Linked DNA regions of Sus scrofa. Each later gene encodes a partner of the first gene's protein in a complex. Links are inferred from orthologs where the notes say so. Each region holds a gene or a part of one and is shown in the gene's direction. Other genes may lie near its edges.

The links.
Region 2: DDX5 (region 1) and PA2G4 share a complex: the UniProt entries of both Homo sapiens proteins name them as parts of the ribonucleoprotein complex. The link is inferred for Sus scrofa from reciprocal best matches to the Homo sapiens genes DDX5 and PA2G4.

What each region holds. Positions count from the first base shown.
Region 1 is NC_010454.4:14,571,342-14,575,813, forward strand, and holds the start of DDX5 (probable ATP-dependent RNA helicase DDX5), read left to right. Parts: upstream 1-1,389; 5' UTR 1,390-1,808; coding exon 1,809-1,987; intron 1,988-2,418; coding exon 2,419-2,584; intron 2,585-2,962; coding exon 2,963-3,059; intron 3,060-3,141; coding exon 3,142-3,275; intron 3,276-3,388; coding exon 3,389-3,454; intron 3,455-3,698; coding exon 3,699-3,840; intron 3,841-3,919; coding exon 3,920-4,080; intron 4,081-4,173; coding exon 4,174-4,346; intron 4,347-4,472. Other genes in the region: CEP95 (centrosomal protein of 95 kDa), read right to left, coding at 153-171. UniProt on the Homo sapiens protein: Involved in the alternative regulation of pre-mRNA splicing; its RNA helicase activity is necessary for increasing tau exon 10 inclusion and occurs in a RBM4-dependent manner. Binds to the tau pre-mRNA in the stem-loop region downstream of exon 10.
Region 2 is NC_010447.5:21,494,421-21,498,903, forward strand, and holds the start of PA2G4 (proliferation-associated protein 2G4), read left to right. Parts: upstream 1-1,576; 5' UTR 1,577-1,771; coding exon 1,772-1,859; intron 1,860-3,023; exon of another isoform or gene 3,024-3,144; intron 3,145-3,956; coding exon 3,957-4,085; intron 4,086-4,338; coding exon 4,339-4,444; intron 4,445-4,483. UniProt on the Homo sapiens protein: May play a role in a ERBB3-regulated signal transduction pathway. Seems be involved in growth regulation. Acts a corepressor of the androgen receptor (AR) and is regulated by the ERBB3 ligand neuregulin-1/heregulin (HRG).

The sequences.
Region 1 (4,472 bases):
CCCAGAGAGCCCGCCAACTATCACGGGGTGTCACCAGCCCCGCCGGCCGCCCAAACCCGCCCGAGGCCTCAAGGTAAAAGTGGCAGGGACGTTAGGGGATTTAGAGAGGACGACTTCGTCCACACACACCGGAGCGACAGGCCGAGACTCACCAGCCTCTGAGCCGGCCATGTCGAGAAGGCAGGCCGCTGTCGGACTCTTGGCCCGGTGCGCGCGGGACGGAGCTCAGGGAGGGCCGCACGCCGCAGACCCAGTGCTGACAGGAGGGGGAAGCAAACGAAAGTGCCGGGAAGGAGGGATTAAAAAGGGAGGGACGTTAAAACCGCTTCTCGTTGCTGATTGGTCACCACAGGACCACTTCCTTTCGCAGCACGCGCTGGGGCGGCGGTTTGCGAGCTCTAAATACCATTCTCCGCCGACCAGATCCCGCTAAGGAGTTCTCAGGTGGGTGGGTTTAACAGCCCCGCGGGTCAACCAGCCGACCTGGCCGGTCTCCCCGGGCAATAGCACTGCACTTCCGGCGAGCGATTTCGTTTTGTACTCCTCCGCCGACGCCATCTGGAAAAGTAGTGCGGCCCGCTCACCCGGTGGGCGGGGGGGGAGTCACGTGACAATGTCAGGCTCCGCCTACCCGTCTCGCCGGGTTGTGGGCGTGAGGGCCCTTTGGAGACGTAAACATTTCCAAGAGAACCAAGTGGCTTGGTCTGGGTGGGCCATTTCATTGTTCGTGCTGGACCTGAAAAAGGGCGGGGCGACTTCCTTGAAGTGTGGAAGACAAGGAAAAGGTGAAGTCAAGAGAGTAAAAACTGAGGCTTCCCAGTAGTGGGTGGATGGACCCACCCTTGAAAGGAGTGAAAAACGGGAGGGATGGTTTGGGTGGGGGGAGGAGAAGGAGGGGCGAGAACATGGCGGATTTCGGAACGCCCGCGGGCGGTGCGGCCTCGGCGCAGGGGCGGGGTGATTAGGTCATAGAGCAGCTCCCAGCGTTCTCTGCGGCGGAGGAGGCGGTCCAGGCTATAAAACCGGCTGCCGGGACGCGGCCGGCACCTCATTCATTTCCACCGGTCTCTTGTCGGGCAGCTTGGGCTCCTGTCATCGCCGTCCCTCCGCCGCTGCCGCCCCCGCAAGGCTTCGCCGTCGTCGAAGCCACCTCCAGCGACTTGTCGCACCCGATTCTCTGTGCTTTGTTTCCCGCCAACCGCAACCATTGACGCCATGTCGAGTTATTCAAGTGACCGAGACCGCGGCCGGGATCGAGGGTGAGTGTGGGAACTGACCTGTCAGGCCCTGTGGGTGGGGGATGGGATGCCGATGCGGGGGGGCGGGGTGGCGACGGGAATTCGGCTTCCTCAGCCTATGTTTGGGCCTCGTCCCTCAAAGGCTTGCGCCATTTTGATATTTTTGAAACTGCCTGGGAGTTTCATGTTAATGGTTCTCGAGATCTCTTCTTTTGTCTGGGATGGGGCATCGCGGCCTCGATGATTTATCAGCTCTTGGGAGAATTCCAAGGAGCGTATTTCGAAGGGAGGGGAGCGCAGCGCTTCGAGGCGGACGAAATCGCTGCTGTTAGGTGCAACCTTTCGGAAGGTGTTTTGGGGGCCCCAGGAATTTTGTGGGTGGCGAGGGGGCCGTCTCCGATGCCGTTATTGCGGCGGGGGCAGGACGGTGACCGGCACCGCGGGAATCGGCCATGTGGCTGAGCCGCGGGTACAAAATGCCGGCATCGGACATGGCGGCGGCGCCTTTGTTACCCCGCCCGGCGGAGGAGCTCAAAATGGCAGCGTCGAGAAAATGTGGCGCAGAGAGAAATGCGAGACAAAGGGGGAAGCGCCGCCCCAGCGGGAACGCCGCCCGGCCGACTCCGCCCGGCAGGGACTCCTCCCCCGGTAGTCTCCAACGCCTCCTTTTCTTTTTCCTTACGTTTATATAATTTTGCTACCTTGATCGCGGTCCTTTCTGGGGCATCTCTCCAAGTCATTCGGCTTGCGTAAGTGTCCGCGAGATAACCCACCTTTTTCTGCTCTGTGTGCTGTTCCGTTATCTATTAAAATCAAAGCTCCTTTGCTTGAGAACAGCTGGTAGATAACATCGCTGTTAGGCTTATCCTTTCTTGTCTTTCTCTCAGATATTTAGTTTTTAAGTTCATGGGAGAGATTAGTAGCCCCAACTATTGACGCTCCTTGTAATCTGAACTTCTGGCATTCGGGCAGCCACTTTCCGACCTGTGAAATCCCGGGCTGATGATTTGGGTTCAATGGCGTGTACTTGGTACAACGGGAAATGAAAAGGATGCGGTGCTAATTGTGGCTTTTGAGAGAATGACCGTCTGTTCCACCTGGAAGTCTTTGATATTTAGCATGTGCCAAGGGGTGGTTAATATGTCTGTACGTGTTCGAAGATGTGACTTTTTAATTTCAGGTTTGGTGCGCCTCGATTTGGAGGAAGTAGGGCAGGGCCCTTATCTGGAAAGAAGTTTGGAAACCCTGGGGAGAAACTGGTTAAAAAGAAGTGGAATCTTGATGAGCTGCCCAAATTTGAGAAGAATTTTTATCAAGAACACCCTGATTTGGCTAGGCGAACAGCAGTAAGTAATTTCATGTGGTTTCTTCAGGCTGTAATTCAATAATTAATAACTTTGCAGTGAATCAAAATCTGACTAGAAGTTCCCTGCACATAACTAAGTTTTGGGGAACTCATGCTGAGTAAGTAAGGATCTTACTTACTTTGGGGAAGAGGAGTTACTACTCACTTTTGGAGACAAGTGACTTTTTCTACTTAAAATGGTTGGGTGTAACGTAATAAGTGGTTTTTGTTTGTTTAGGGTTTTTATATGGATCCAAATTTTAAAAGGCCATCTTAAAGTAGTTAAGTCAATTATGAATTTAGGAGCTTATTGGTTGCATTTTCAGTTAAGGGGAGTTGTCATGAGAAGACAACTGGATTTTTGTAATTTGTTTTGTAGCAAGAGGTAGAGACATACAGAAGAAGCAAGGAAATTACAGTTAGAGGTCACAACTGCCCAAAGCCAGTTCTGAATTTTTATGAAGCAAACTTTCCTGGTAAGTGCTAGTTTTCCCTACCTTAAAAAAAAATTCTTTCTCTCGGCATTTCTAATTTTAACTTACTTGTTTATGATTACAGCAAACGTAATGGATGTGATTGCGAGGCAGAACTTTACTGAACCCACTGCTATTCAAGCTCAGGGATGGCCTGTTGCTCTAAGTGGATTGGATATGGTTGGGGTAGCACAAACTGGATCTGGGAAAACATTATCTGTAAGTTGGGCAACTTGTAATTCTGTGTCGAGTGATTGAGGAAATGGGTTGGAAGTTAAAAGAAACCAGAAATATTTTAATGTGTAACTTCTGTTTGCCCCTTCTCTGAACAGTATTTGCTCCCTGCTATTGTCCACATCAATCATCAGCCATTCCTAGAGAGAGGTGATGGACCTATTGTAAGTATACCTTAAGCTTTGTTTAAAAGTACAGAGATTTGTCCAGTAGAAAGCAAATGACAATTTGTGGTGATTTTAAGTGGAGACGTTAGCTGTTTTGTACCATTTATCTGGAAACAAATCTGCTCTAGGTATTGGACAGCAAAATAAGTCATGTGCTGCTGTAACACTGATATATCATCACTTCAAAAGTAGACTCCGGAACTCTGCTGAAAGGTATTCATTCCACTTTCTCTTTTCTTAGTGCTTGGTGCTGGCACCAACTCGAGAACTGGCCCAACAGGTACAGCAAGTAGCTGCTGAATACTGTAGAGCGTGTCGCTTGAAGTCCACCTGCATCTACGGTGGTGCTCCTAAGGGACCACAGATACGTGATTTGGAGAGAGGTACAAAACAGAAAGTGTTTGATTTGTCACTGGTGGTGCTAAAATTCTAGATGTCTTGGTTACATTTTTGTGTTTAAAGGTGTGGAAATCTGTATCGCGACACCTGGAAGACTGATTGACTTTTTAGAATGTGGGAAAACCAATCTAAGACGGACCACCTACCTTGTCCTTGATGAAGCAGATAGAATGCTGGATATGGGATTCGAACCCCAAATAAGGAAAATTGTGGATCAGATAAGAGTAAGTACTCTTTAAATGTGTCTATCTTTTCAAACTTTGCTCTAAATTTATTCTTAGAATACAAGGCTTTTTCTTTATTCCAAAAATCTTTAGCCTGATAGGCAAACCCTCATGTGGAGTGCTACTTGGCCAAAAGAAGTAAGACAGCTCGCTGAAGATTTCCTGAAAGACTATATTCATATAAACATTGGTGCACTAGAACTGAGTGCAAATCACAACATTCTTCAGATTGTGGATGTGTGTCATGATGTGGAAAAGGATGAAAAGTAAGTCAGTCTTAATAACTCTAAAAACAACTTTATTGTACAAATTGAGTCATGCATTTATAGGTTACCTTAAACATGACTTTCAGTCATACTGGAATCTGGCTGTTGAAATTGGTCTATTCATTG
Region 2 (4,483 bases), on another chromosome or scaffold:
ATGATTACTGTTCATTGAACGTTGACTGTGTGCCAAGTATCATCTAAACTTACCCATCTCACTTAATCCTTGACACCAATTCTGTGAGCTAGGCATTATCCCATTTTACAAATAAGGAAACTGAGCCTTAAGGAGATTAAGTAAATCAAGTAGCAGGTCCAGGATTCAAAATTTTCCAATGCACCATGCTCTTAGTGTAAGGTGTCAAAGAAAACTGATGAAAGTCAGAGCACTAGTAAGAGGTATTGTCTTCTTGTGTTTGCACTGAATCAAGTCTAACCCCAATATCCACAGCCTCCTCCTACACCTGGACTGCTCATCTCAGCAAGTGGGAGTAAGGGGGTGGACAGAAGGAAAAATAACTGGACATCTCTGTGTAAACCGTAATCTTCGTGTGCTACATATGATATCTGCCTAAGGGACAGACTCAGACGGTCCCCAGAGCCATTTTTTAGGAGCAGTTCTCATTCAGTAGTGGGAAGCTTCCAGTGGAGATGAAAAAGAGGACCCGGCTTCAGACCTCAGTTCCTTTGAATGGGAAACTGGGAGTATCTGTTTTTATCCCTCAAGTTTTTGTTTTGTTTTTATACATGTCTGAATAAAGATGCCAAGGTTTTGCAGCTTCTTGTCTAACGACAAACTTTAGTGAGTGGACAGATCAGCCCTTTTCTCCGTTCCACAGCAGAGAATGGCTACCATGGCATGCTTCCTTCTCTGTCTCCCCACAGTCCTACTTGGCCCCCTGTAGCTTTCTCCAGCCCCACTTTCCTTATAGTCTCTTTAGACAAGCAAAGGGTACAGTCCTTTTCATTTAAGCGTTTTACTAGGAATCTGTATAGGGCAACCGACTAACTGGGAGTAACAAAACAACCAAACAAAACACGTTTGGGGCAGTTAGAAAAGGCCCCAAGAGGTAGAATACTGAAACTCTCAAACGTTTCACAACTTTAAAAAAAAGTGTCCGTCTTAGGTGCCATCAAAGCCTGTTGTTGGAACAATAGTGCCATCTTCAGAGGGAGCCGGCCTCTAGACTTGGAAGGCTGTACATGGATAATCCCACAGAAATCTGGTGCCCAGTTAGTCCCTGCTCCACGCACTCCGGGTCTCCTTCCACACTCGCTCTGCCCCTCCCAGCACCTGAGGACGATCGGACTGGCCAGGCCGGTCCGCCTGCCGCTCCAGGGATCCGAGGAAGGGCGTACCCAGCCTCCCCGCCCTTGATACAATCACCCCCACTCGTCTCTGCTCCACCCTGCCCCGCAGCCTCCAAACCCACGTCCCCGCCGTAGCTCCGCCCCCTTCTCCCTTAGCCCGCCTCCCTCTATTACGGGTTCTCGCTCAGCGCTCCTGGTGGATATGGTTTTTCCGGGAGAGACCACGCTTCCCCTCATGCTCTCCAACGGCTCCGCCTTCCCGCCGGAGCCTGACCCTTCCCAGCGTGCTTGGCGATTCCGGCGTGCGAGGCCCTCGGAGGGCAAGGCCCCAGGGCCTGGCTTAGGGGCGCGAAAGGCAGGCTGGGAATTGTAGTTCGCGAGTCCGCGAGGGCAGCTAGAGGCTGGCGGCGGGAGGGACTCGTTGTCCCAGCATGCCCTGCGCATCAGCCCGCGCGCTCGCAGTTTCTCGCTCTCGCCCGCCCGCTCCCTAGCTTGCTCGCGCTTTTGCTCGCGCTCTCCTCGCGGATCGAAGGGGCTCTGGCCACAGCCTGTGGTTGGGAAGGGCGACAGAGGCAGCGGCTCAGGAGAAACGAGGCTGCGGTGGTGGTGGTGGGAAGATGTCGGGCGAGGACGAGCAACAGGAGCAGACTATCGCCGAGGACCTGGTCGTGACCAAGTATAAGATGGGGGGCGACATCGCCAACCGTGAGTGCGGCCTCGGGGGTCCGGAGATCGAGGCTGGGAGGGAGAGGCAAGGGGGACGGTGCTTGACGAGCCGGTGAGGGGCTGGAGCGGTGGGGTCATGCAGAGTGGGCTAGTGAGGGCCCCCCGCGGGTCTGCTGGGTTTGGCGTGGTGGGAAGGCTCGTTATCGCGTTTGGGACCTGAGCGGCTAGGCCTGGGCTGGAGTCTGTGAAGATGCAGGCGGGTGGCAGGGAAGAGCGCAGAGCGGGGCCCCGGCTGGCTCCGACCCTAGGCCCTTGGTAAGGAGGCAGGGCGTATGTCCTGCTCTTCATCCTTCTGTCTGGATCTCTGCCTCTGATTTTGGCAGCAGGGAGGCCACCTCGGAAACGAAACGCTCCTCTATTTTGTCGCTGCTCCCCGCCGTCAGGAGCCTAGCCGGCACGTGTTGCCGGGTCCCCAGCGGATCGCCGGCTCCCTTCCTCCGCTACAGTCCCTGACACTAGCTTCCCTACCACGTGCTTTGCTGTAGTCTTTCGTTCTTTACTTCAGCTCCCTCCCTGGAGGGGGCCGCCTTCTACTCTTGGGCCAGCTCAGGGACCGTTGGAGGGTACCCCTGGAGAACCCCTAACATAACTCTTGGAGACGTATCTGGTTGTTCTTGAAGTTATCATCTCCAATCTGCGCAGATAGCTTTAGTTAGTTGTCAAATTTGATTGCTCTCAGGGGTTTGACAGCTCTAGGAGTGTTTTGAGGTTCTTTTCACCCCAACCAGGCAAACCTGTGTAGAGCACTGGTAAAGGGGAGACTGACTTTATAGGATCTCGGAAGTTATCCTTATGGGGGCTCGCTCAGACTTCTCAGCAGCTGCCTGCCACTCTAGGCAGATGTCTCACTTTCTCTTTTCTCTCTTTGCGATTTAAAACCCAGTTAGGGGACAGAAGATGCTTGTCTTTGGGCTTTTAAATGGTTTTGACAGTAAAGATAGGTATTTAGGATGCCTTTGATCCTATGGCTAAAAACCTGAGTTTTTCAAACTTCCAAAAAATCCCCAAAACTTGGATCACAAAAATCAAACCTATAGTTCACTTTGGGCCTTGGAGAGGATATCCAGTGAACAGAACAATGCTTTATAACATAATGGACATTTAGTGGTTTGAAAACAGAAAAACTTTTTTTTCCTCTTGCAGTTTATAACTTCTGAGGCACTTGGGATTCCAGATACCAGTTGGAAACTCTTTTGGGTCACATACCTCATTGAGATCTGCTAAAAGCTATAAGCCCAAGCTTGCTGAAGCCCAGAGACCTTAGGTTAAGTCTCCTTGACTTGTTATATAAAGAAATAAGTCTACATATTGAGATTACTAACACTTAATTGGGGTGTCTGGGAAGGGAAGAAGGTAGCATTTAACAATGCATCAGCTTCGGGTCAGCAATTCTATGTCTGCCCTCCTGTTGTCCCTGACGCCTATAAATTTCCCCCAGTCTGCTTTGCCAGTGTGTTGGATACCTTGCTGAGAACCTCCTTGAAGTTCATGACTCTGTCCTGCACACCTCAGCTATCATCTTGGGAAAGTCTGCCTTGCCTAGGGAGACAGACAGTGCATACAGTGTCACCAGTTGTCACAATGTATAAGGAAGTGTTGGCTCTTTTTAGGAAAGGAAGGTAGCAATTTAGAGATGGATAGGTAAGTACATTCCAAGAGGCACAACTTTTTTTTTTTTTTTTTTTTTTTTTTGTCTTTTTGCCTTTTCCAGGGCCACTCCCTCGGCATATGGAGATTCCCAGGCTAGGGGTCGAATCAGAGCTGTAGCCACCGACCGGCCTACACCAGGGCTACAGCAATGTGGGATCCGAGCTGCGTCTGCAACCTACACCGCAGCTCACGGCAACGCCAGATCCTTAGCCCACTGAGCAAGGGCAGGGATCGAACCCGCAACCTCATGGTTCCTAGTCGGATTCGTTAACCACTGCGCCACCATGGGAACTCCCAAGAGGCACAACTTGTTCTCTCTTTCATCCTTAAAGCAATGGCACCAGGAAATGTTTAGCTTTGAGGTATTGCTTAGATGGTAACTTAGACAACACTTGCAGGACTGATCCAATGGGATTCTGTTCCCAGGGGTACTTCGGTCTTTGGTGGAAGCTTCCTGTTCAGGTGTGTCGGTACTGAGCCTGTGCGAGAAAGGGGATGCCATGATAATGGAAGAGACAGGGAAAATTTTCAAGAAAGAAAAAGAAATGAAGAAAGGTAAAAATAATCCCCCACTAATTTCCTGCATTTGACCCTTATTCAGTCCTGTTTGTTTTATTATAATGATGCACCCCCAGCTCCAGCACTGGTTGAGATATTTGGAATGATAAGGGGGATTCAAGCAGTTTCCCATCTAATCCAAACTGATTAAACTTAGGCAAGACCCTGATGAAAATTCTTTCATCTTTCTGAGGGGCAGCAGGCCTCTAAGAGAGCACGCAAGGCAATAAGGCTGATTGTCTCTTTACAGGTATTGCCTTTCCCACCAGCATTTCAGTAAATAACTGTGTATGTCACTTCTCCCCTTTGAAGAGCGACCAGGACTATATTCTCAAGGAAGGTGACTTGGTAAAAATGTAAGCTTAAGCCATTTCAGAGCACTTGTCTTTGTCCTA